Linked DNA regions of Caenorhabditis elegans. The protein of the gene in region 2 interacts with the protein of the main gene of each other region in a pairwise test. Each region holds a gene or a part of one and is shown on either strand. Other genes may lie near its edges. The genes, in order: inx-8, lin-41, hcp-3 and let-99.

What was found.
Region 1: the proteins of lin-41 (region 2) and inx-8 interact in a two-hybrid assay, tested with the Caenorhabditis elegans proteins (one large-scale study listed by BioGRID).
Region 3: the proteins of lin-41 (region 2) and hcp-3 interact in a two-hybrid assay, tested with the Caenorhabditis elegans proteins (one large-scale study listed by BioGRID).
Region 4: the proteins of lin-41 (region 2) and let-99 interact in a two-hybrid assay, tested with the Caenorhabditis elegans proteins (one large-scale study listed by BioGRID).

Annotation. Positions count from the first base shown.
Region 1 is NC_003282.8:11,671,626-11,676,802, forward strand, and holds inx-8 (Innexin-8), read left to right. Parts: upstream 1-2,218; 5' UTR 2,219-2,247; coding exon 2,248-2,384; intron 2,385-2,674; coding exon 2,675-3,361; intron 3,362-3,414; coding exon 3,415-3,670; intron 3,671-3,764; coding exon 3,765-3,833; 3' UTR 3,834-4,010; downstream 4,011-5,177. Other genes in the region: inx-9 (Innexin), read left to right, coding at 4,759-4,895. UniProt on the Caenorhabditis elegans protein: Structural component of the gap junctions.
Region 2 is NC_003279.8:9,338,628-9,344,646, reverse strand, and holds the start of lin-41 (Protein lin-41), read left to right. Parts: upstream 1-2,150; 5' UTR 2,151-2,329; intron 2,330-2,733; 5' UTR 2,734-2,749; coding exon 2,750-2,885; intron 2,886-2,932; coding exon 2,933-3,194; intron 3,195-3,237; coding exon 3,238-3,287; intron 3,288-3,330; coding exon 3,331-3,471; intron 3,472-3,518; coding exon 3,519-3,790; intron 3,791-4,177; coding exon 4,178-4,449; intron 4,450-4,503; coding exon 4,504-4,627; intron 4,628-5,694; coding exon 5,695-5,791; intron 5,792-5,830; coding exon 5,831-6,019. UniProt on the Caenorhabditis elegans protein: Heterochronic protein which acts downstream of let-7 in temporal patterning. Plays a role in the developmental timing of postembryonic hypodermal seam cell division and fusion events and adult alae production.
Region 3 is NC_003281.10:9,614,041-9,618,402, reverse strand, and holds hcp-3 (Histone H3-like centromeric protein hcp-3), read left to right. Parts: upstream 1-1,932; 5' UTR 1,933-1,949; coding exon 1,950-2,041; intron 2,042-2,092; coding exon 2,093-2,339; intron 2,340-2,387; coding exon 2,388-2,690; intron 2,691-2,742; coding exon 2,743-2,967; 3' UTR 2,968-3,097; downstream 3,098-4,362. Other genes in the region: F58A4.6 (DUF4807 domain-containing protein), read right to left, coding at 3,119-3,239, 3,288-3,433, 3,477-3,647, 3,697-3,824, 3,873-3,912; pri-1 (DNA primase small subunit), read left to right, coding at 4,124-4,223, 4,270-4,362. UniProt on the Caenorhabditis elegans protein: Histone H3-like variant which exclusively replaces conventional H3 in the nucleosome core of centromeric chromatin at the inner plate of the kinetochore.
Region 4 is NC_003282.8:12,565,915-12,571,792, forward strand, and holds let-99 (Protein let-99), read left to right. Parts: upstream 1-1,927; 5' UTR 1,928-1,941; coding exon 1,942-1,986; intron 1,987-2,036; coding exon 2,037-2,389; intron 2,390-2,436; coding exon 2,437-3,626; intron 3,627-3,684; coding exon 3,685-3,869; intron 3,870-4,209; coding exon 4,210-4,533; 3' UTR 4,534-4,708; downstream 4,709-5,878. Other genes in the region: eak-7 (MTOR-associated protein MEAK7), read right to left, coding at 1-67; hsb-1 (Heat shock factor-binding protein 1), read right to left, coding at 1,002-1,163, 1,218-1,298; K08E7.4 (uncharacterized protein), read right to left, coding at 4,792-4,827, 4,875-5,078, 5,128-5,139. UniProt on the Caenorhabditis elegans protein: Required for the proper orientation of spindles after the establishment of polarity. May play a role in interactions between the astral microtubules and the cortical cytoskeleton. Required for asymmetric forces on nuclei and spindles.

The DNA.
Region 1 (5,177 bases), on a different chromosome or scaffold from region 2:
GATACTGTTGTATATCACATGATCAAATAGCACAAGAAAATACCGGAAATGATCAGATGATTATTCTGAAATTACTGAATATATGGAAATATTGAAAAAATAAGTTTTTTTAATGAGAAACAAATCAAGAAATTGAGATAAAACTGATTGGACATTGTTAGAATACTAAATTTTACCTCGGATTTTCCAAGTTCCTTGGCATTTGGCCCTGCACATGTTTTACCCAAAAAGTTTCGACTTGGATTAACATTTCAAAACCATTTTAAATCCCCTTTTTCCTCTAACCCCAACTTCTTGTGTCAAGCTCCATTTTCCCCATATGGATGACCTTCAGTTTATTTATCTTTCCCCCGTTGTTCTCAAGTTCCCATCGTTAACGAAAGTTATTTCCAATTTTTTCCCTCTTCTTTCCTTTTGCAACAAAAATATATTTGTACCTACCAAAGGCTTTCAAAAATTGCGACTCGAATGGAAAGAACAAATAGATCGGTCGTCTGAATGGGGTCTTTTGAAGTTAGCCGATTTAATTGGGGAAAATATGACATCATAGAGGGTGGAAGGAGATCTGGAGTCAAATAAGTGACCCTGTAAAAATTTAAATTTTCCTTTTCAGAGAGAGAGCTGAAAGCACTTGGCTTCAAATATTTGGCAGGGCAAGCTTATGAACAATGCCTACTTTGGTGCATACAAGGCATGCAAAACTCTCTTATTCACTATTTATAGTAATAACTTTACGCATACTTAGAAGAAGTAGGTTATTTTTTTTGCATCCTATCAGTTTTTCACGACGAAATGGTCCAAGGTTTTGTACGACTGTAGGCAGGCAGGTAGAAATTTAGTTACTGCCTAGAAAACTTAGAATATGATATATTCAAGTACTGATAAAAAATTTCTGAAATAGATCTAACAGATTTTTGTGTTATTACAATAAACTAAGTAAAACAATTTTTGAGGGATTGTTCTGGAAATTGCTATAATCCGTTTTTTTTTTAATTTTAAAATTTTTTCCATATTGCAACAGTCCAATAATCTTTGAAACATAGGTGGTATCGAGAAACATTTTTCAGCTTTTATGGTTCCAATCCCTATCGACATTTGTTGCAAAACTTATACGACAGATGGCAAGGGTTCTAGAACATTCAAAAAGTGGTCCAAGAAGTACAAGAGATCAACAACATAACGAAGGAAGGACACATGGAACTCTCTCCCAGACAGACGACTGTCTAGACCATTTGACTTGGACACCTCAACCCCCATCACGGCAGGCTTCTTCAAATTCTGAAGGTTTCCTTACTCTCTAATCCTCTCTCACACAATATCACTTGGTGTTATTCTTTGCACCAACCCAATTTTTTTGTTGGTATTTTTAACAGCAAAACTGAAAAATGAAGTTCCCATCCCGCCCATTTAATGGAAAATTGATAAAATTTGAGAGAAATATTTATGATTGCACACAAAAAAGTGAATGAGAAAAATAGTGAAAGTTTCTGCAAAGAAAAAAAATAAGAGAATAATTAAAGAGAGTGAAAAGAACATATCCATTCAAATTTCAGAATCTTGTCGAACAACAAAAACGAAAGGCTTTTTGTGACCTTGATAAAATAGTGAATATCAGCTTCCAAAGCGCAACGCAACTTTTGAAGTGTACCGCCCATACGAACCCTTTTATTGGAATGTACAATGATTTATTAGAAACTTTAAAATTAATGAAGACACTGACCATATAGTCAATATCACTGTAAGGTTCCGGAAAAGTTGTTAGAATCGCGTCGTATAAATAAACAAAATTTGCCCTAATTTCCCCGTGACCTCACACGTGGAACGTCTTGCACAGTCCGCCACGTGTACTTCCCTCATTATTTTTAAATTTTTATTGTCATTCAGTTTATTTTCAGTTTTACAGAGAAAATATTTTTTATTGAATTTATTGTAGAACACTCAATTTCTGTTCATTTTTCCTTCGACCTGATTTCCCCTTCTTCTAATGAGTCATACCATTTGGAAGACCCCCAGTGTCTCGCTGCAATCTCCGCCTACCAGTCCCTATTACCACTGGTGGCCAATAAAAATGCTTTTCTTTTTGCTTTTCTCTATCTACTTCCGTTCCGCCCATTCCTCTGTTTTCCAGAACTTTCCATTCAATCATTCATTTCAATCTGTGCTCAATCAAAAGCTTTTCTTTTTTTCTTCACTCTTCAACATACATATAATCTTTCAGAGCATCTTCACTCGGGTTCGAAGGGCAGAATGTTTTCTGTTCCATTTCTTACCTCATTGACAAGTCATCTTGGGATCACAGCAATTGATGATGCAAGTGATACCCTTTCATGTCTCATCACTGCCTTCCTCTTCATTACTGCAGCCATCCTCACATCAGCCAAGACGTAAGTTGTTTCCTTCTCTCGTTTGAAAGTCTTGTAAATTTTTTTTGCCTCTCCGTTTTTTGCCCGGAAAACGCCTGCGGGAATAATAGAAAAAAAGATAAATTAAAATTCATAATACCCGCTTTATTTTAGCTTTCAATCAAAAATAGAAGTCACTGAAAATATAGAGATTGTAGTGTTTCCAATTGTTCAAAATGTGCGTATTTTGATGATTTAAACTTTTTACCAGCTCTCAATCCGAATCCTGCAAATAGAGTAGTCTTTCACTATTCAAAAATTACTTCTTCCAGGTATGTCGGCTCTGCAATGGAGTGCTGGCTCCCGCAAACGTATTCTGGAGACTGGGGAGAATTTGCTGAAAACTACTGCTTCTTGAAGGACACCTACTTCTATCCAAGACAACAATCCATGACAGATATTCCAATGTATCACAAAGAACGTCATCGTCTTACCTACTATCAATGGTCCAGTATGTACTTGGCAGTTGCTGGAATTGCTTTCATGATTCCGAAGTTTCTTTGGAGACTTTCTCAATCTACAACTGACATGCCTGTTGTCTACTTCTGTGATACTGCAAATGAAATCAAGAATGAAACTGAGGATAAGAGAAGTGCGAAGATCAAGGAAATGGCAAGATTCATGCGTACAAAGATCACTTCCGTTCATACTCCGTCGTTGTTTTCATTCATTCGAATGTACATGGTCTATTCAGTTATCAAGATTCTCTACCTCGTCAATGCAATTGCTCAATTTGTAATTATTGCAATCTTTCTTGGACAGAAACGGAATTTGTTCTGGGGATGGACTCTCTTTATGAATCTTCTCAATGGAATCACTTGGGAAACTACTGGATTATTCCCTCGCGTTACCTTCTGTGACTTCCAAGTTCGTGAGATGGCCGGAAATAATCGAGATGAAACTGTCGAGTGTGTCATTGGAATCAATGAATTCAATGAGAAAATCTTCTTGTTCTTCTGGTAAGTCTCTGATTTTTTTTAAAACTCAGTGCTCATTTGCTGCTCATTTCCAGGTTCTGGCTTGTGTTTCTCGTCTTCTCCACTCTCATCGCTCATTTCTACAACGCTGCTCAAATTGTGAAGCCATACTTCATCCACAGTCTTCTTTTTGCTATCCGGGATCATGATATTGTCGATCAGAAGGAATTGTTCAGAGAGTTTGGAGAGAAGTATCTCACAATGGACGGAAAACTTATACTGAGTTTTGTCAAATCTCAGAGTGACTTGGTAGCATCGGAGGTTGCCGTGGAGATGTACAGCGACTTTTTAGTAAGTCTTTTCAACAATTTTCGTAATAGTTAGACATTCACGGAGGCAAGCACTTATTTTTCTTTTGAAAATCCTCCAATTCCTACATTTTCAGGAAGCAAGAGACCGTGCCAACATCGCTGAGGACAAATACAACAACATCTTGAAGAACGGAAAGCAATAGTTTTTCCATGTTTTCCCATCCGCCATTCTTGTCATAATTATCTTTCTTATTTCACATTGCTTTAACTCTTTAATTTTGTAACGTTCGACCCGTGAATAATACTACCATCGAGTAGTAGAATTACCCGGTGATTTTTGATTTTGTACGGCTTCCTTTGGAAATAAACTGAAATGCTAGAGATATTGAAAAATTGTTTTACAGATGTATTGACTTCAATATATATTTGGTAATTGAACTCAAAGTTAGAACGGAAAGGAGATCGAATAGGAGATCATGGTCGAACTAAAAAAAGGAATTTTAAAAAAAAGTTTTTTAAAGTCAAAATCTAGAAACTAACTTTGAGCCGTTTTTTCATTAATTTTTCACTATCAAAAACCTAAATTCAAAACTTTCGAAATAAAAAGAGCGACCGTCTTTTGTAAGTGAGAGATGTTGCAAGAAACTTTAAACTTTTGGCAGCCAAGGTTCTGACTTTGTATTTAAAAAATTGCAAAGGCATCATTTCACTTTGATATAGGTCTTATTATCCGATCTTCAGACATTTGAGAAAAATCTTTAGGCGAAATCTTGTAATTTCACATCCCATTGATCATTCGATACTCCTGACAAAAATCTCAAAATCAATAACCAATTTTTCCATGTCATCCTTGGTCTCAATTGCAGATGATTCATAAAATGAACCACCCACTGGAAGACGACGCAAGCTCCGCCCACAAACTCTGCATTCGTGTATAAATACCACACAGTTGGGAGGCCGACACATGTTATTGACAATAATTTTTCGTTCTGTCTGTCCATGTTTTCAAGCATTTTCAATTTTCAATTCAATCATTGATTCTCGAAAGACAATATTTCAATCTCATTTTTAATTTCGTTCAATGAAAAATTCTTTCAGAGCATTGTCACTTTGGTTCAAAGGGACAGAATGTTTTCTGTTCCATTTCTTACCTCATTGACAAGTCATCTTGGGATCACAGCAATTGATGATGCAAGTGATACCCTTTCATGTCTCATCACTGCCTTCCTCTTCATCATCGCAGCCATTCTCACTTCAGCCCAAAGGTAAATTATTTTCAGTCAACGTTTTTAGTTTCACCATGTTGTTTTACGGGCCGTTTCTGGGAGTTTAAAGGATTATTTTGTGAGTATTTCTTCATAGAGAATAAAATACAAATACGATATACTGTTGTAGTACTCTGACTTGAGGTTTCTTCATTTCTCTAATTCTTTTTCTTAAGTCATATCTGTGAAACACAATTCATTATTATGAAAACAAAAAACAATAATTTTTGAAACCGGAACCCATAGGTTTCGTTTAAATTTTGTGATAATTGGGATTTTGAG
Region 2 (6,019 bases):
CGATTAGGTAGGCGTCTAAATATGAGAATTTTCGGCATATCTTACGCGCATGGGTCTTGCCACGCAGACAAGGAGCTACTGTAACGATTATTACTGTAACGATTGTTGCATCCTAATTTTGTTTTAAAAATCTTGACAGCAATTTTTGATTCAATTTTTAAAATATGATTCAATAACGGCCCATAATTAGACATGAGATACGGTAATTTGTTGTCCGCGTGGCGAGACCAATGCGCCTATGGTATGTCGAAAACTCCCATCTTTAGACGACTATGTAATAGAGGTCTTCATTTTTCACTGTTCGCCTTAATTTGTATTTCTTATTTCATTCACAATTCCTGTTTGGTTAGTTTCGGTCTGAGGTATTAAAAAAAGAAACGCACGCTTCGCGACGTTTCTTCTCCTTTTTTTGCGAAAAAAGTGAAAAAGTACACTACTCTTTCAAACATGAGGCCTTGCACTTTTGGCACGAAATTCTGTTTTTGCGACGACGGCGCGGCGGAGAAGATCACTGGGGGTGAGAGGGGAACACTGAATGGAAAAAAGAATGAGAAAGAGAGAACAAACTAGAGACACGCAGAGATCAAAAGCACTGAGCCCAGTGAAAGAGAAACACTTTGGTCTCTTCGTCTTCCCCTTCTTCCCCTTTTTTCCGCAAAAAAAAAAGAGTTTTCACTCTTTCTCTAACCATCTGTCCACTCTCGTGCAGCCTACCCCCAGCAGTCCTTCGGCGCGGCGCTCACCCCCAGGTGTGTAGAGAGTGGGAACGACGAAGAGACTACAGACATTTGGGGCGCCTGGGGGAGACAGCGGGGCAGCCTAGGGGTGGAAATTTAGAGAAATGGAGAGGAAAGAGGGGAAAAAGACTTCTACACACACACACAGACATACACACACTTTTATCGTTCCCACCGTGTTCAATGTCCCATAGGTTTTTGCGATTTTTTTTTCAAAAAATGAATTGAAGTTACTTCCAATGTATATCTGTTAGAATCTGTCTTGATATGAAAAAGATATGTCACGCCCCTTTATGATATTTTGAGACTTTAGGTCAAAAGGTCACAAGTTCAATAAGTCTTAGAAATAAAAATCAGTAATTGAAACGAAATTCATGAAACTTTGCTTCCAGATATCCGGACATGTAATATTTAATAAAAATTAGCAATGAATAGTTAGACATGTATCTTTTATATGGTTCATCCAGAACATAATTCGTACAATATATTGGTTTTTGCTACGTGGCCTAGAAAGTCCAAAAATTCGGCCAGTGATTCATCTTTAATTTTTCACTTCAGAACTTTGTGAAGCTTGCCGACCAAGTTATTTCAACGAGCAGATTTTCGAGAAAATGACCATAGCTCCTTTTAGGAAGGTGGCCGTGTTTTTGTATGTCGCGGCCACATAGTAAAAATCACTCGGTGTAAAATGTGATCCTAAGACAAATTCCAACTTTAAGTTTTTGGCCTGGAAAACCTAGAGAATTGTCCAGAAAACTCCTACAATTTCGAAAAAAGGGGCGTTTTTGTTTATTTTACTTTGATTAATCCAACGCGAGATGTTTATTTAGTTAGTGTTTTTCGCATTCTTCAATTTTCGCTTCCCGGTTTCTATTGCTTCGATTAAATCCCTGTAAAGCTTTCACAAAGCCTAAAATGTTTGCCATTTCCATCACTTTTTAAGGAGCTGCTCAAAAACTTACTTCCGTATTGAATTTTTTGGAAGGAAAAATGTTTCAGATTTTTTTGTTTAATTTTTTTTGAAAATTTATCGAAAAAACAAATTATGTCGCAAAAAATGTTTGGTAAAACAATTTTTGAGATAGAGAACCGTACCGTAATCCTTAAAGGCGCATAGTCGGTTGGAAAAATTTTGTGTTCGTGACGAGACCCAACACATAAAATTACGAGTTTTCATCTAAAAATAAGTGTTTTCAGTGAATTCTTCTATCAAATAAAATTTTAACAAATTTATTACAAAAAACTCTTTAAAAATATCTTCAGATACATTCAAATTCATTTCGCCCCGTATTTTCAAGGAAAAATCGATAAGCTACCGTAACCCCATTTGTTTTATTATTTTATTGTCGCATCATTTTTCGATAATTTTTGAAAAACATTCAATTAATATATTTAAGTCTCGTTTTATTTCAGGCCACGGTTGGCGAACGGGTAAAAAGGAAGAGCCGATCGCCTCGTTACTCAAGGAAAAGGCTCGACGTCGCTGGAGGAGGGAAAAGTTGGTTTTTTAGGATAAAAACCAACTTAAAGTACAAAAAGAGCCGGAAACGGCGGGAATGCGACGTTGGAAACGATCGTGATCTTGAATAAAGGTGAGGAACTTTTAAATAACAAAGCAAAATGCGAAAATATATTAAAAATTAAAAACGTCGAAAAAAAATTAATAAAATTTTTTTATTCGAAAAATTTTGACCTACCACAAATTTTTTGACTACTTAATTTTTTGTTTTTTGTTTTTATTTTCGAATATTAAATTGAAAGAGCGGCATTTTTCTGATTTTCCCATCAAAAATCCTTGTCATCAGCAGCCCTCGGGCCATTTTTCTCTCATTTTGTTCCATTATTTTCATATAAAAAGTGCACTTTTTTTGTGCTTCACTGACTTTTTTGTTCGATTAATTGTTCCATTCGTTCTGAAAAGTCAAAAAATTCATAAGTATTCTAATTGTAGAGTCATCGTTTGCCCTTTCCACTGATAATTAATCAACCTTTTCAGACTTGGAAAAAGTGAAATGGCGACCATCGTGCCATGCTCATTGGAGAAAGAAGAAGGAGCACCATCAGGACCTCGTCGGCTTCAAACTGAGATCGACGTGGACGCCAACGACAGCGGAAACGAGCTGTCGATGGGCGGAAGCAGCAGTGAAGGTAACACTTGAAAATTGAAAAAAAAGCTTCCAACGAAACAACTTCAGGTGACTCAATGTCCCACCATCGCGGTGAGCATTCACCAAACCATCATCATCAGGATAATCATCTTGGCTCGGGACCACCACCACCACAGTTCACTGGCTCACTATTTGACACTCCACCGTCAATGATTCAGTCACCACAGCAGCAACCACAGTTCCAGTTCAACACTGGATTCGGACTCGGACTCCCGCAAGACTCCTTTCGGTGCTCAGTCTGCTCCAAGAGCTCGACGATTGGAGTGCTGCCGTTCGTTTGTGCGCACAAGTGGGGTTTCAAGACAAATTATCAAAATGACAATTATTTTTAGAACGTGCCAATCATGCTACCAGATGACACCGTCCTCGTACGATCGACGGGGTAAATAAATATCTCAACTTTCTGTATGATTTATGAATTTTAGCTTGCAAGCTGTGTGGTGCCGTATCGACAGCCACCGCCAACTTTACATCGCAGATGTACCTGTCTCCGACGCTTCCATCACCGCCACGTGGAGCTCTGATGTCGGATTGTTCGACACCAACGATGAATAATCACATTAATTGTATGTTTTAATTCTCAATTTACACCGAAGAATAACCCAAATTCCAGCATCAACTCCACTTCATCAACCTCGTGCATTCTCATTCTCACTCAGTGGAATGCCTGGATCACCGTCTCCAGTGATGGGTGCACGGATGCCATCGTCTGCTGGTGGGCTCATGATGCGTCCAATTGGATTCCCCGACTCGGACAGCAGTTTGACATCATGGTCTCCATTGCAACAACCATCACAGCTTTCTATCAATAATCTGTCGAGCATCGGAGGACACCAGCAACAATCGCCGATGTTGATGCAAAATGTGTTTGATTCGTTGGCAGTGGTCAGTTTTTATCAAATTTCAAACAGAGAAAAGTACAATTTTGTGGAGTGTGGAGCTATAAACAAATTCAATTTCCCGAATTTATGATGTTATATATTATGTGGTCGCAAATCGAAAAATGGTTCAATTTACGGTTTCGCCGTCAATACCTAACGAGACCCAACTTCTGGGGGTGGACCTCGATTAAAAAATGAGCATTTTTCTACGGCCCCATAATATTTCAAAAATCATTTTTTTCGCAAAAAAAAGTTAGCATTTCTCTCTTCCCAAGAAACATATTTTTCTCCCTGGCTTCAATAAGTTCAATAAGTCTTTTTTCTAATTTTTTTTGCTAAATGCGCCCTCCTGCGAGCTGAAATTGCACCTAATTCCTCGTATTCTTTACAGAACGATGATACTCCTGTATTCTCTCCACTCTCTCCAACGAATACTTCAATGCATATGCCACCATCATTGATGGCATCACCAGATGTTCCAAAACATTCTGCAACCATAGCTCCACCACGTAATTCCATGTGCTCGACGCCACGTCTTCAATTGGCAACACCAATGTCTTCACAATCACAGCAAACTTTTCCAATTCCTTCACCACTTGGATCTCAGCCACAACAACAACAGCCAATGGGTCCGATTCAATGTCAAGGATGCGAATCGAAAATGTTAGTTTTCCCCTAAAACTTCAAAGATAATTAAATTATATTTAAATTTTTCAGATCGTTCGCCTACTGTATGCAATGTCAGGAAGCTTTGTGTATTCATTGTGTTCAAGCTCATCAGCGTGTTCGAGCCACCAAACAACATGCGTTCGTTGAGCTTCAGCAGTTGATGGCTACTTTGGTTAGTTTTTATCTTATCGTGTGTTACTACACGCTTTTTGCGTCTCAACACGACAATTATTTTTTTGGAAATTCATAAAAAGTATGCGCCTTTAAAACGTACTGTAATTAAACTTTTCCATTGTTTTTCATTAAATATTTGTATATTTATTTATCGAAAACCTAAAATTAAAAATTAAAACCATAAAAAATCGATGAAAATTCACAGCTACAAAAATTTGAAACTACAGTACTCTTTAAAGGCGCACACCTTTTTGTAGTTTACAAAAATTGACATTTTGAGACATGATACCGTAGTTTGGGAGCAAAAAATAATATATGTGGTCTATATTAATATCACCTTGATCCGTTTCAAGATTCTCCACGTGCTTGATGACGTGAATCGTTTGTAATCAGGAATCATAAAAAGAGTACGCAATAATCATAAATCAATGACTCCTGTCAATCAAGAAAAAACACAGAATCAGTACTTTTTTGGTGTATTTTTCCGTTTTTAAATGTCTTATCAGTAACTGATTGCAGGATTAGAACACAAAAATTGGCTGCCGACCGTTCCACTACATTAGTAAAACTTCTTGAAAATAACTTTTTGAAAACTATCAAGGAAAGTATTTCAGCTCACTTTTAGATTTTTAAATGAAACTTGTGTCAGCAGTTTCACATTTTTCAAACAAAACCAAGTTCCAAAAAGCTCCCAGAGTGTTTGCTTACCTCCAAACACCATAAACATCACCAAAAGCTTGCAAAAATCCACATTTCGAAGAAAACAATTTACTGAAAGCAGTTTCAGAGCTGAAATACTTTCCTTACAAGTTTATAGATTTTTCTATCCGAATATGTCCACGTACTAGGAAATTCCCATTTTTCAACATCCAGGCGTTCGTTTCCCTTTTTCTTCTCCTTCAACCACCTTTTTTCGCCATTATTCACAAGCCAGTCGGAGGGCCAATTTAGTGCCGAGAGAGAGAGAGGTGTCTGCTCCTCATCCGGTGCTCTTTTTGCACTATAGTATTATTTTTTGCTCGGCGAACACGTAATTCCTCTAAAATCTAAAAGTATTATTTTCAGATGAGCCGTGCAGTTCAACCACAACAAGCACAGCAATACACTCAAAATGTTGGAGGATCAGTTCGTCAAGCACTTGGATCAGTTGGAAGTGGAGATGGTATATGAAGATATTCTACAGTAATTCAAACTGTTTCAGTTTTCTTTTCAGGACATGTGTCTGGCGTTGAAAATGATTCAATTGGCAGTGGAGAATCATCACCTCGAAGCTCTTCTGTGTGTGGAACTCATGATTCAGTAATCATTGGAATCTGTGAGAATTGTCCTCATTCAGTTCTATTGTGTGCAATCTGTGTTGCTCAACATCCTGGAAAGCATCGAGTTCAGC
Region 3 (4,362 bases), on a different chromosome or scaffold from region 2:
TGAGTTATTCGAACAGCTCAAGCAAATCACTGTAAAACCGTGAACGAATAGAATATTGACCGACTCCGTAGGTTTTGAAATTCAAGAATTCAAATTCATTCAGCTGCAGTTTTGGTTTTTTTTTCGATTTTTTTCCTTATGATTTCTGTGCCAATTATGTACACCTAAAAATGTTTCCTTTCACTGAGAACATCTCGACGCGCTCATAAAATTCAATTGTTTAGTGACAGACGTCACGAAAGCATTTTACGCATCATTGTGATAGTATTCTTACACAGTTTGTCACCCCATTCGTCGTCGCGAATATTTCTTCATGTGTTCAATCTTTTTTTGGGCAGAATGTAGAAAAGAGAGAGACAATACTGCAAAAGTGATATTGAAGAGGTTTCCGTGTGTGTGTGTGTGTTGGTGTTTTGAAAATTCTAAAGACACAGAATTGGAAAGGAAAATGAATCAACACGGAACACGTACACTTTTTTTTGGAAACAAGTTTAGTATTAACTTTGCAAAACATGTCATGTCTATCGTTCTATCGGGATAATGGTATTTGAAAAGAAATAAAAAATAAAGAAAGAAACCAATCAGCGTTTCCGGACTCCGCCCTTTTTGTCTGATTGGTGGAAAAGTGTGCGGAGCAATTTGCTAATTGGTATTGCAGTTCTTGTTTTGGAGGGAATTCAAATTCAAACAGAGCGATTAGCCGAATTTTTTGGCATTTTAGACTTTTTTGGTATTTTAAAATTATAAAAGTTGGCTTATATGTTTTCAACAAGCTTCGGAAAGCTCATCGAAATAAAATAGGTTTGCTAGTTACGAGCCTTTCCTGAATCACTTGGTGTCAGGATCAAGTGTTTCATTTTTCGATTTTTCGCTGTTTTGATGGGAAAAAACATGGAAAAAAGCGGTAATTGAGACGTAGTTTCCAACCATTGTCACTCGGTTAGCAGGCACACTTTTCCGGCCGAAAAATTTTTTGAATTTTTTTAATATCATATATAAAAAATCCTATTTAAAACTATAGATCAGTTATGAGACGTCTCATGAGACCACGTGATTCGAATTGAAAACTTGTGCTATGTCATTGCAGTAGACTCGGCTTATCGAACACTGGATTACCAGGTCCAAATATAAATTTATTATAATTTTTTTGCAGCGAAGTTTTAAGCGTTCTTCGATTATAAGAGAATATTAGCTCTAATTATTATTTCTAGACCTGCTTGAATAATCGCCTTCCGCGCAAGCGGAAGTTGCTGGCGCATCTCTCGTGTTACTTGCACATTTTAGTTTTTCAAAGCGCGCGGAAGCGCGAAAATTTGGTTTTTCTTTTCTAGAATTTTCTTTTGTCTGTTGATGGTGACTCTCAGATTATTGTCACCTAAAATTAGGAATTATTTTGATTTTTTTTCTTTTTTTTTCCTTTTTGTATCAGACTATTTTTACATTTTTGTGTGTTAAAGCTCCAGAGTGTCGTGAAAAACACCGAATCATTGTCTTCTCCGGCGAATATTTGTTTTTTCACTGCACTTTCCAAAGTTATCTCGATAAAAAATTATACAGCTAATCTCATATTATATATTATCGCTGTATGCGAGACACAGCCCAAGGCAGTCCAAGTTTCGTGAAGTTTTGATGGAATATTTATGAAGAATCGTTTTTTTTTCGAAAAAAACAACACAATTGTTCAATCAGCTGAACTAAATTTTTATAAGACCCAAATATTGATTAATTAGGCGACCCCCGGGGTTGAGTCCGTCATTTATGTTGTTTTGTGTGCACTTTAGCGTGATGTCGTCTGCGTATTTCCCTGCGTCTCTCGCCGCCAATCGTTACTTATTTAAACTGCGTTCGCATTTATTGCTTCTTTAATTCCTTTTTAACCTTCAAACAAATCGTCTTAATTTAGCTTCAGTTTTCTAAATTTTATATTTTATCAGGATAATCTTCGAACAATGGCCGATGACACCCCAATTATTGAGGAAATCGCCGAGCAAAATGAGAGCGTCACAAGGATCATGCAACGTCTCAAACATGACATGCAAAGGTAAGTGATGATTTTTGTTTTCGTGCTACAAATTAATGTCTGCTGTTTCAGAGTCACTTCAGTGCCGGGATTCAACACAAGCGCCGCAGGTGTCAACGATTTGATCGACATTCTGAACCAGTATAAGAAGGAGCTTGAGGATGATGCAGCCAACGACTACACTGAAGCGCACATCCACAAAATTCGATTGGTCACAGGCAAACGGAATCAATATGTCTTGAAGTTGAAGCAAGCCGAAGACGAATATCACGCGCGAAAAGAGCAAGCTCGGAGAAGAGCTTCGTCTATGGATTTCACGGTTAGTTTCAATTTTGTATGATTTCAAACAACATAAAATTTATTTCAGGTCGGCAGAAATTCCACGAATCTTGTCGATTACTCCCACGGCCGTCATCATATGCCCTCATACCGTCGACACGATAGCTCCGACGAAGAAAACTATTCTATGGATGGAACAAATGGCGATGGAAATAGAGCTGGCCCATCGAACCCCGATCGTGGTAATAGAACTGGCCCATCGAGCTCCGATCGCGTGCGGATGAGAGCCGGAAGGAACAGAGTCACCAAAACGAGACGTTATAGACCGGGCCAGAAGGCATTGGAAGAGATCCGCAAGTACCAAAAAACTGAAGACCTTCTGATTCAAAAGGTATACAATTTTTACTTTATTTAAACTATATTAAAACAATTCCAAATTTCAGGCTCCGTTCGCACGCCTCGTCCGCGAAATTATGCAGACTTCCACTCCATTTGGCGCCGACTGCCGTATTCGTTCTGACGCCATCAGTGCTCTTCAAGAAGCGGCGGAAGCATTTTTGGTCGAAATGTTCGAAGGATCGTCTCTTATATCCACCCATGCGAAACGTGTCACACTCATGACAACGGATATTCAGTTATACAGACGTCTCTGCCTTCGACATCTCTGATAACAATATTTGCAATACTCATTTTTCGATCTTCAAGCCATATTTATCTCATCAATTTTAGCGCTGTTTGATCTTTTGTGTACCGTGAACACGTTTACTATTTGTCAAATAATAAAGATTCATTACTTGTAAATGAGAACATTTTATTTAATCACTTGTTCGAACTAGCTTTTCCGAAAATATGAATAGCTCGAAGCTTCTGATAGACTCCTTCGCAGCATCTTTGTACAATATCCGTGTTCGGATTCTGTTTGGCCCAGTGATAAATTGCTCTGAAATTGACCACGTAAATAAGCCTTTTCTACTTTCAAGAATCCAACCTAACAATATTAACAGCATGCGAGAGATTTCCGAGTTGTGCTTCTGCGAGGGCGGTATACAGGTAGCATCGTGCAAGAATAACTGGATCTCCATATTTTTTCGCTAAGTTGATTTGATGAGCAGTAATTTTTGCAGCGACTTTCGCCTGAAAAGCTAGCGTTAAACTAAAGTGTAAACTGATAACTTACATAATTTGCATCGAAATCTCCCATAGCTGAATAAGCGCCACCTAGAGTAGACAAGTTCCACATGAGCTTTTCGAGATCAAGCATGTATCGGAAATGGTGTTTCAAACGTCTTTCCCAAGCATAATCGAGATTTTGTGCCGGATTTTTCACTTGGATGTTGACAAGAAGTTTCTGAAGCTTAAATATAATAACTTCTGGCAATAGAAGATAAATTAGTTACCTTATCGACGGGAATATTATAGAAGGCACGTATTTGAGCAAACGAATATTCTTCACGACACTGGAGAATATTCAAAAATCCGTACAAATCGTCCAAATTCGTGAATTCGAATACTAGTGATTGGGTACCTGCAATTATTTTATATTAATTAATTATTTGCTTATCTGACAGCTTACTGGTCGATGGAATTTCCGTAGAATGTTTTATTGAATTCATTTGTACACTGAAAATGAGTATAGAAATGGAGAGAAAATGGTCTTTTAGAGAAAAATAAAATAATGCAAACGCGCCCTGTTGTACACGCCGCGAAATTGGAATTTAAACCAGTTTACCGCACTACATATGTGCCTATTTCTTGAGGATTTCATCTTTTTTTAGCTTGAATTTCAATTGAACCAAATATTTATAGTTTTTTTTCTTTTCAGAAATGTCTTATAACTCCATCAGACTTCCACAAGATTTGCCAATATACTACAAAAACTTCTTCCCAGTCAAACCATTCACAAAATGGCTCCGCTACGGACAAAGTGAGTTTCGAATTTCGATTTTCTTAACGAAATTTGAAATTTGCAGATAACGGAGACTATTTCAACCGCCGAGAATTCGCATTCATTCTGGCAGATGACGTTCATATCAGATATCGTAGTTACAATGACGAACACGCAT
Region 4 (5,878 bases), on a different chromosome or scaffold from region 2:
TAAAATGTGCATAATCCTCATCGTTAATATTTTTTAGATCTTTTCGCTTCGAATTTTGAGCTCCCATTTCTGAAATTATATGTTTTTTATCTGAAAATCCGGATGCGAAATAGTTAGTAAAAACTGTGAGAAATCAACATTTAGTATGAGAAAAAATTCAAGGGAAGAAGAAGAAAAAGTAAGATGAATAGTTTCATATTGAAAATTTTTTTTAAAAATGCACAAAAATTTGAATTTTTGGCAAAATTTGTGTTTTCACATATAAATAAAATAATTCCGAAAATCGTAATAAAATGCAACAAAAGTTATTGAATAAGAGATTAAAAGCAGGAGGCACAACATAGTAGTCATGAATCCTCTCAACACGTGCATAATCAGTAGAAAAAGAAGAAGAAGAAGACGTGAAAAGAGTATATGTATGTAGGAGAGACGCAGAGAAGCACACAAAACGAATTGGAATTATGATGATGATGAAGAAGGAAGCGACGATGATTCATTTGGGAAGAGTGTAGAGCTGGAAAAAATAGAAATTGAAGAGAGATTAGTTATTAATAATCTCTACAAATTGATTTTTTAGTGGAAATTTGGCATCTTTCAGACCATTTTTGAGCTCTTCGGCGAATTTTTCAGCCAAAATTAATAGGTGAAGTTCTATATTTTTATACTAATTTTTAATGATAAAGTCTTGGAATAACGGTGCAATCGGCCTGATTACCACGTGGTAAATCGATTGGAAAGGCGCTAGGAAATCTAAATATATTTCAAACTAAAGTTAAGAAGGAATAAAAGGATTGACTTCATACATGAAAATTATAAAATATTCGGCCAAAGAGCGTTTTTTACTGTATTTCTAATTGGGTCCCACGGCCCATATTATTGTTTTTTTTTGAAATTTCAAAGTCGACATCAAAAACAACACTGTTTTTCAAAAATAACGAGTGGTCAAAACATCGACCGAAATTTTTGAGAATGTTTCCCATTTTTCTCATTCCGTACCAATCTTATTGAGCGCTTGGCGGATGTTCAACTTGGTTCGATTGCAGCAAATCGTTGATATTCTTCTCCAAATCATCGATTCTCGTTGTCATATCATCGATTCGCCGAATAATCTGATCCGACATGTGCTGGAATCGATCCTGTGTCTGTTGCAGAACTCCTTGTATCTGAGTTTTAGGATTTTTTAGAAAATTGACAATTTTTTTCAAGTATTTACGTACCAACGACGTCAAATCATTCATATTTCCATCGGCTGGAGCGTCGAGTTGAGCGGTTGGTGTGGTAGACTTCTCATCGGACATTTTGAACTGAAAATCTGTAAAAATACGATAAAAATCACAAAGTTTAATCAGTTTTTAAAGAAAATTTGATGAAAAATCAATTAAAACTGGTGAGAATCCAGTACCAGGCAACTAGCCGTCATCTCACAAACAGTGGAACACACAAAAGTACGGGAACAACAACACGAGAGAAAGTACGTCGAAGTGAGAGACGACAGAGAAAAAGAGGGCGGCGAGAGAGTGAAAGAGACGCAGAGAAGGAGTCATTGGAGAAGGACAGATGGTGTAAACGGCGAAAAGAGCAGAATAAGATGATTTGTTTTATGTAAAATAGTGTGGATTTCGAGGAAAATATAATTATTAGAAACACTTTGAGAAAAAAAAAACATCTGAATCGAGGAATTTTTAATTAAAAAGAGAAATTTTCAAAGCAGAATGGGTTACTGTAGCTAATAAGTTGTGTGACAAGTCGTGTTTTCGTGTGTTTGGTCCGTAAACAAAACTTCGGCGCCAAAACTTCACTCGTTTCAGCAATTTTTAGGAAGTTTCCAGAAATTTTTCCTCATTCTTGCTTTTTTTCGTGATGAAATCTCGTTTTCTTTTAAGAAGTTCTTAAATTTATCAATAAACCATCAAAATTCAAGTTTTAGGCCGTCTTGCCGTGATGTCTGCCGACTACTCATCGGAGAAGTTCAAGGCGACGCATCTGGTATTAAAATGTTTCACATTTGTCTTTTGAAATTTTATTCTGATTTTCAGTTCGACGAAATTCTATGGCATTTTCGTTCAAACTTATCACTCAAAACGAACAGAAGAGGATTGGCCACTGCGGAAAACAGTTTCAGCGGGAAAGAAGCTGTGGATTTTCTGATGATTGAAATGCCACGAATCATCCCTAACAATGTTCCGGAACGAGACAAGATGCAGAAGTTCCTGGAGTTCATGATGGACATGAACGTGATTTCAGAAGCCTTCCCGAAGAAAGTCAAGCAAAGGAGGCCATTCAGTGAATCGAGAATATATTTGTTCATGAAGACTTTGGATGAGTTGAAGCATCCCAAGCCCCGATCACGTCGATCAGCGTCTTTCAGTGGTGCTCGCAAAAGTGCAAAGTATGCCAAATAATCATTTTAAACTGTGCTATAAAATATATTTCCAGAGTTGCTCAACCTGCCTCTCCTGCCGCGACAATGCACCGGCCACCAAAGGCAAGGCTCCCACGAAGATTATCGCGATCTAATGGCAACATTGACAAAGCAGGCATCGATAATTCTTCAGGCGGCGTTGAGAATCACGGTTTCGATGATCATAAAGACGATGAAATCCCGAAGAAACAACGAACTCCGAAGATTTTGAACAGATCACTTGAAAGTATCTGTACAGAAGAATATACTGAAAAACGAGAAGTTTCTGAGATGAAAGAGAAGGTTTATGATTGGTTACCGTTTTTCAAATCAAGACGAAATCACACGAAAGTCAATCAACCAACCCGTCGTTCAGCATCCCTTGATCGAAATCATTGTGTTTTGGAACAAGAAAAAGCTGAAGCTGCTCTTCGTAGTCAGAAAGTAACCACTCCGCCAATTCGAGAAGCCCCGAAAGACGTCGTCTTTATGCATCCACAAGGACCGTTGCCTGCAGTTCCTAGCAGATATCAAAATCATCGGACAAGCATCGCAGGATCAAATCCAGCATTGTTATCGCGTGGAAGAATGTACGAATCCATCATGAGAAGATCGTCGGTTGTTCCAGTTGCAGACTCTGTCCAGGCAAACAACGAATGCTCATTTTGGAAAACAGAGCTGCTTGGACGATTGGAACAAATTTACGATCGCACTCTTCCCTGTGAATGGGCATCTAAAGTCGATGGATACGATATTCAGTGGAACATGATTGAAATAGATCATGCTGATGGAATCGTCAAATCGAGATGTCAGGGACTGCAGCCCGATTATCCCCAAACTGTTATTCAATTCATGGATTATCTTGTTCGATATCCCTTCGTCACGCATAAAAAAATGGACACAGGGTTGGAATACAACGTCAATCGGATTTTCATAACTCTAGTCAATCGTCTCGAAGACTTGAATGCTCCTCTTCAATTCGATGAATGCTCTCTTATTGTTAATCTCCTCTGCAAAATCGATAGCTTCGCGGCAATGCTTGACAATGGGCCTGCAAGGCGATGGTCGAAAGTGATGATTTCTTCGTCTGCGTCTAGTATTGAGGAGGCTGGATTGATGGTCGATGGATTCTCCCGTGATCTTCCAGCATGCGGAATTCGAGCTTCAAAGTATCGACGACGTGCGTTATCACCATTTGATAATAGAGTGAATTTGGAAATACAAGGTAAAGAATTTTATTTTTATTACAGTTTCACGATTTTTACTTAAAATTATAATTTCAGACGAAAAATCCTACGAAATCCGAGAGCAATGGTTGATCGAAGCAATTCAATTGGTACTTCTTTCGCTTCCAACTTCACGACGTCGGAAACTTCACAAATTTGTTACATTCATTCAATCGATCGAAACGAATGCAGTTTTCGACCTCGCTGATCCTTCTAACGGATCTTCCAACAATCGGGAAGCGGTAAGGAGGGGATAATTTTGCAAGAAAACTACTGTAACCGGTCTCGACACGACAACTTTTTGTTAGATAAGAAAATGTGTGCGCCCTCAAGGAGTACTGTAATTTCAAACTCTCATTTCTGCCGAATTTTTATGGATTTTAATTAGTTATTTGATAAAAAAAAATATTTATCAATTTAGCACTACAAAATTAACACCTATATTTCAACAATTAAAATTCTGCAGAAATCTTCATTCGTTTCATTCGACAAAAGAAAAATTTGTCGCCTCGAGACCGGTACCGTACTTTTGTCGCGAACTTTTGCGTCTGCGTAATATCAATTTTAAATTTTCGATTTCAGGCAATCATCGGACTCTGGACAGGTGTTTGTAGTAAATGCCGAAAGCAACAAGGAATGCTGATAACCGCTGTCCTCCTCGCAAACTTTCAATCTCTTTTTGCAGTACCTGTTGAATTTATCGAACAGGTCAAACGATTGGAATGTGAAGAAAAGGACAGATATAGTGGTCCTCGGTACGCAAAGATCACCAGAAGTCGAAATGATTGGCAACCACCAGTTCCGGATAAACCGCAAGCATCTCCGGCAGTTTTTAAGAAACCACTAAGAGAAGTGGCATGTGAGAAAACGAAGAAAGGATTGTTCACAAGATTGCTGCGTAAATAAATCTAAAAATCTTCGCCCCATGTATATATTCAATATATTATTTATTTTGTTCCATTCCTCCCCGCTCACCGAATTCTTGTGTCATTATCATCATTTTTCTAAATGTTATTTTACAATTCTGGTTGAATTGAAATTCTCGATGTTCGTTTTGTTCCATAAATTTTGACGATGATTTATCTATATGTATTTATTTTCTTCTATGCTTTAATAACACAGAAAAGGGGGAATTTCAAAAAATTTATTAGGATACATTGAGGACTATTGTGGGATGGCGAGCTCCTCGTAGTTGCCCTCCTAAAAACGTTCGTTTTGTCTTTTAAAATATGCCAAAAATAACTCACATCTTCTTTCTTTGGAGCCACTGGTTCATCCTTCTTTGACGATGGAACGTCTTGTTTCTTCGAATCGAATGAGTCGCTTTTTCCGACTCCTCCAGCAGGTGCTGCCATAAGTTTAGCGACCGGTTTTGGAGCCACTGTTTTCTTCTTGCTCCCACAATGGACCAGCACAAATGGCAAGATATTGAGAGTTAATAGCAAAATGATCTGGAAGCGAGAGGTTTGGAAAATATCAGAATCCTGACAGAAAACTCACTTGCGAGATCATTATTCTTTTTTCGCTTCCGAGAGGTTTTGAATCTTGTAAAGTGAGAAAATATGAATTTTGTAGATTTTCGGAGGCTTTATATATGAGAAATTGTAAGGGGAAGAAATGTTCACGGAAATTCAAAGTTCGAAGGTTGAAATTTTTCAAATTTTCTATCACAAAACACATTTTCGGTTCGCGTTAATAGTTTTCAAATTGGTTTTTTTTTTCATTTTTAATGAGTTTAAAGTTTAGAAATTTGGTTCTACATTAACATATACTTTGTGACAGAGATGGGCGGCAACTGCCGTTTGGCAAATTGGAAAAATTGAATTGCCGGTTTGCCGATTTGCCGGAAGTTTTGGAGGGACTTTTTATAAGATGGAAGCGTTTAAAATTGTGCCTTTTTGAAAATTTCTTCCCGTTTTCTTTAGATATTTTCATAGAACTTGTTTACTTTTCAAAATAGACGTAGGAAAAATCATAGGATGCGTACAATTTTGCCGATTAAAATTGAAATTCTGAAAGAACCGGCCTTCCAGCAATTTTCAGTATTTTTTCTGAAATATTTGGCAGCATCTGAAAGCATTTTTCAACATCCTGTAAATTTTGGCAAATGTGGGCAATTTTTTTTGCAACACCTGGGCCGGCAATTTCTTAATCACAGCGGTAGCGACGAGAGTTTGAAATTACAGTACTCTTTAGAGACGCAAACCTTTTCGCATTAAATAAAATGAAAGACTAATTTTCAATTGGTCCG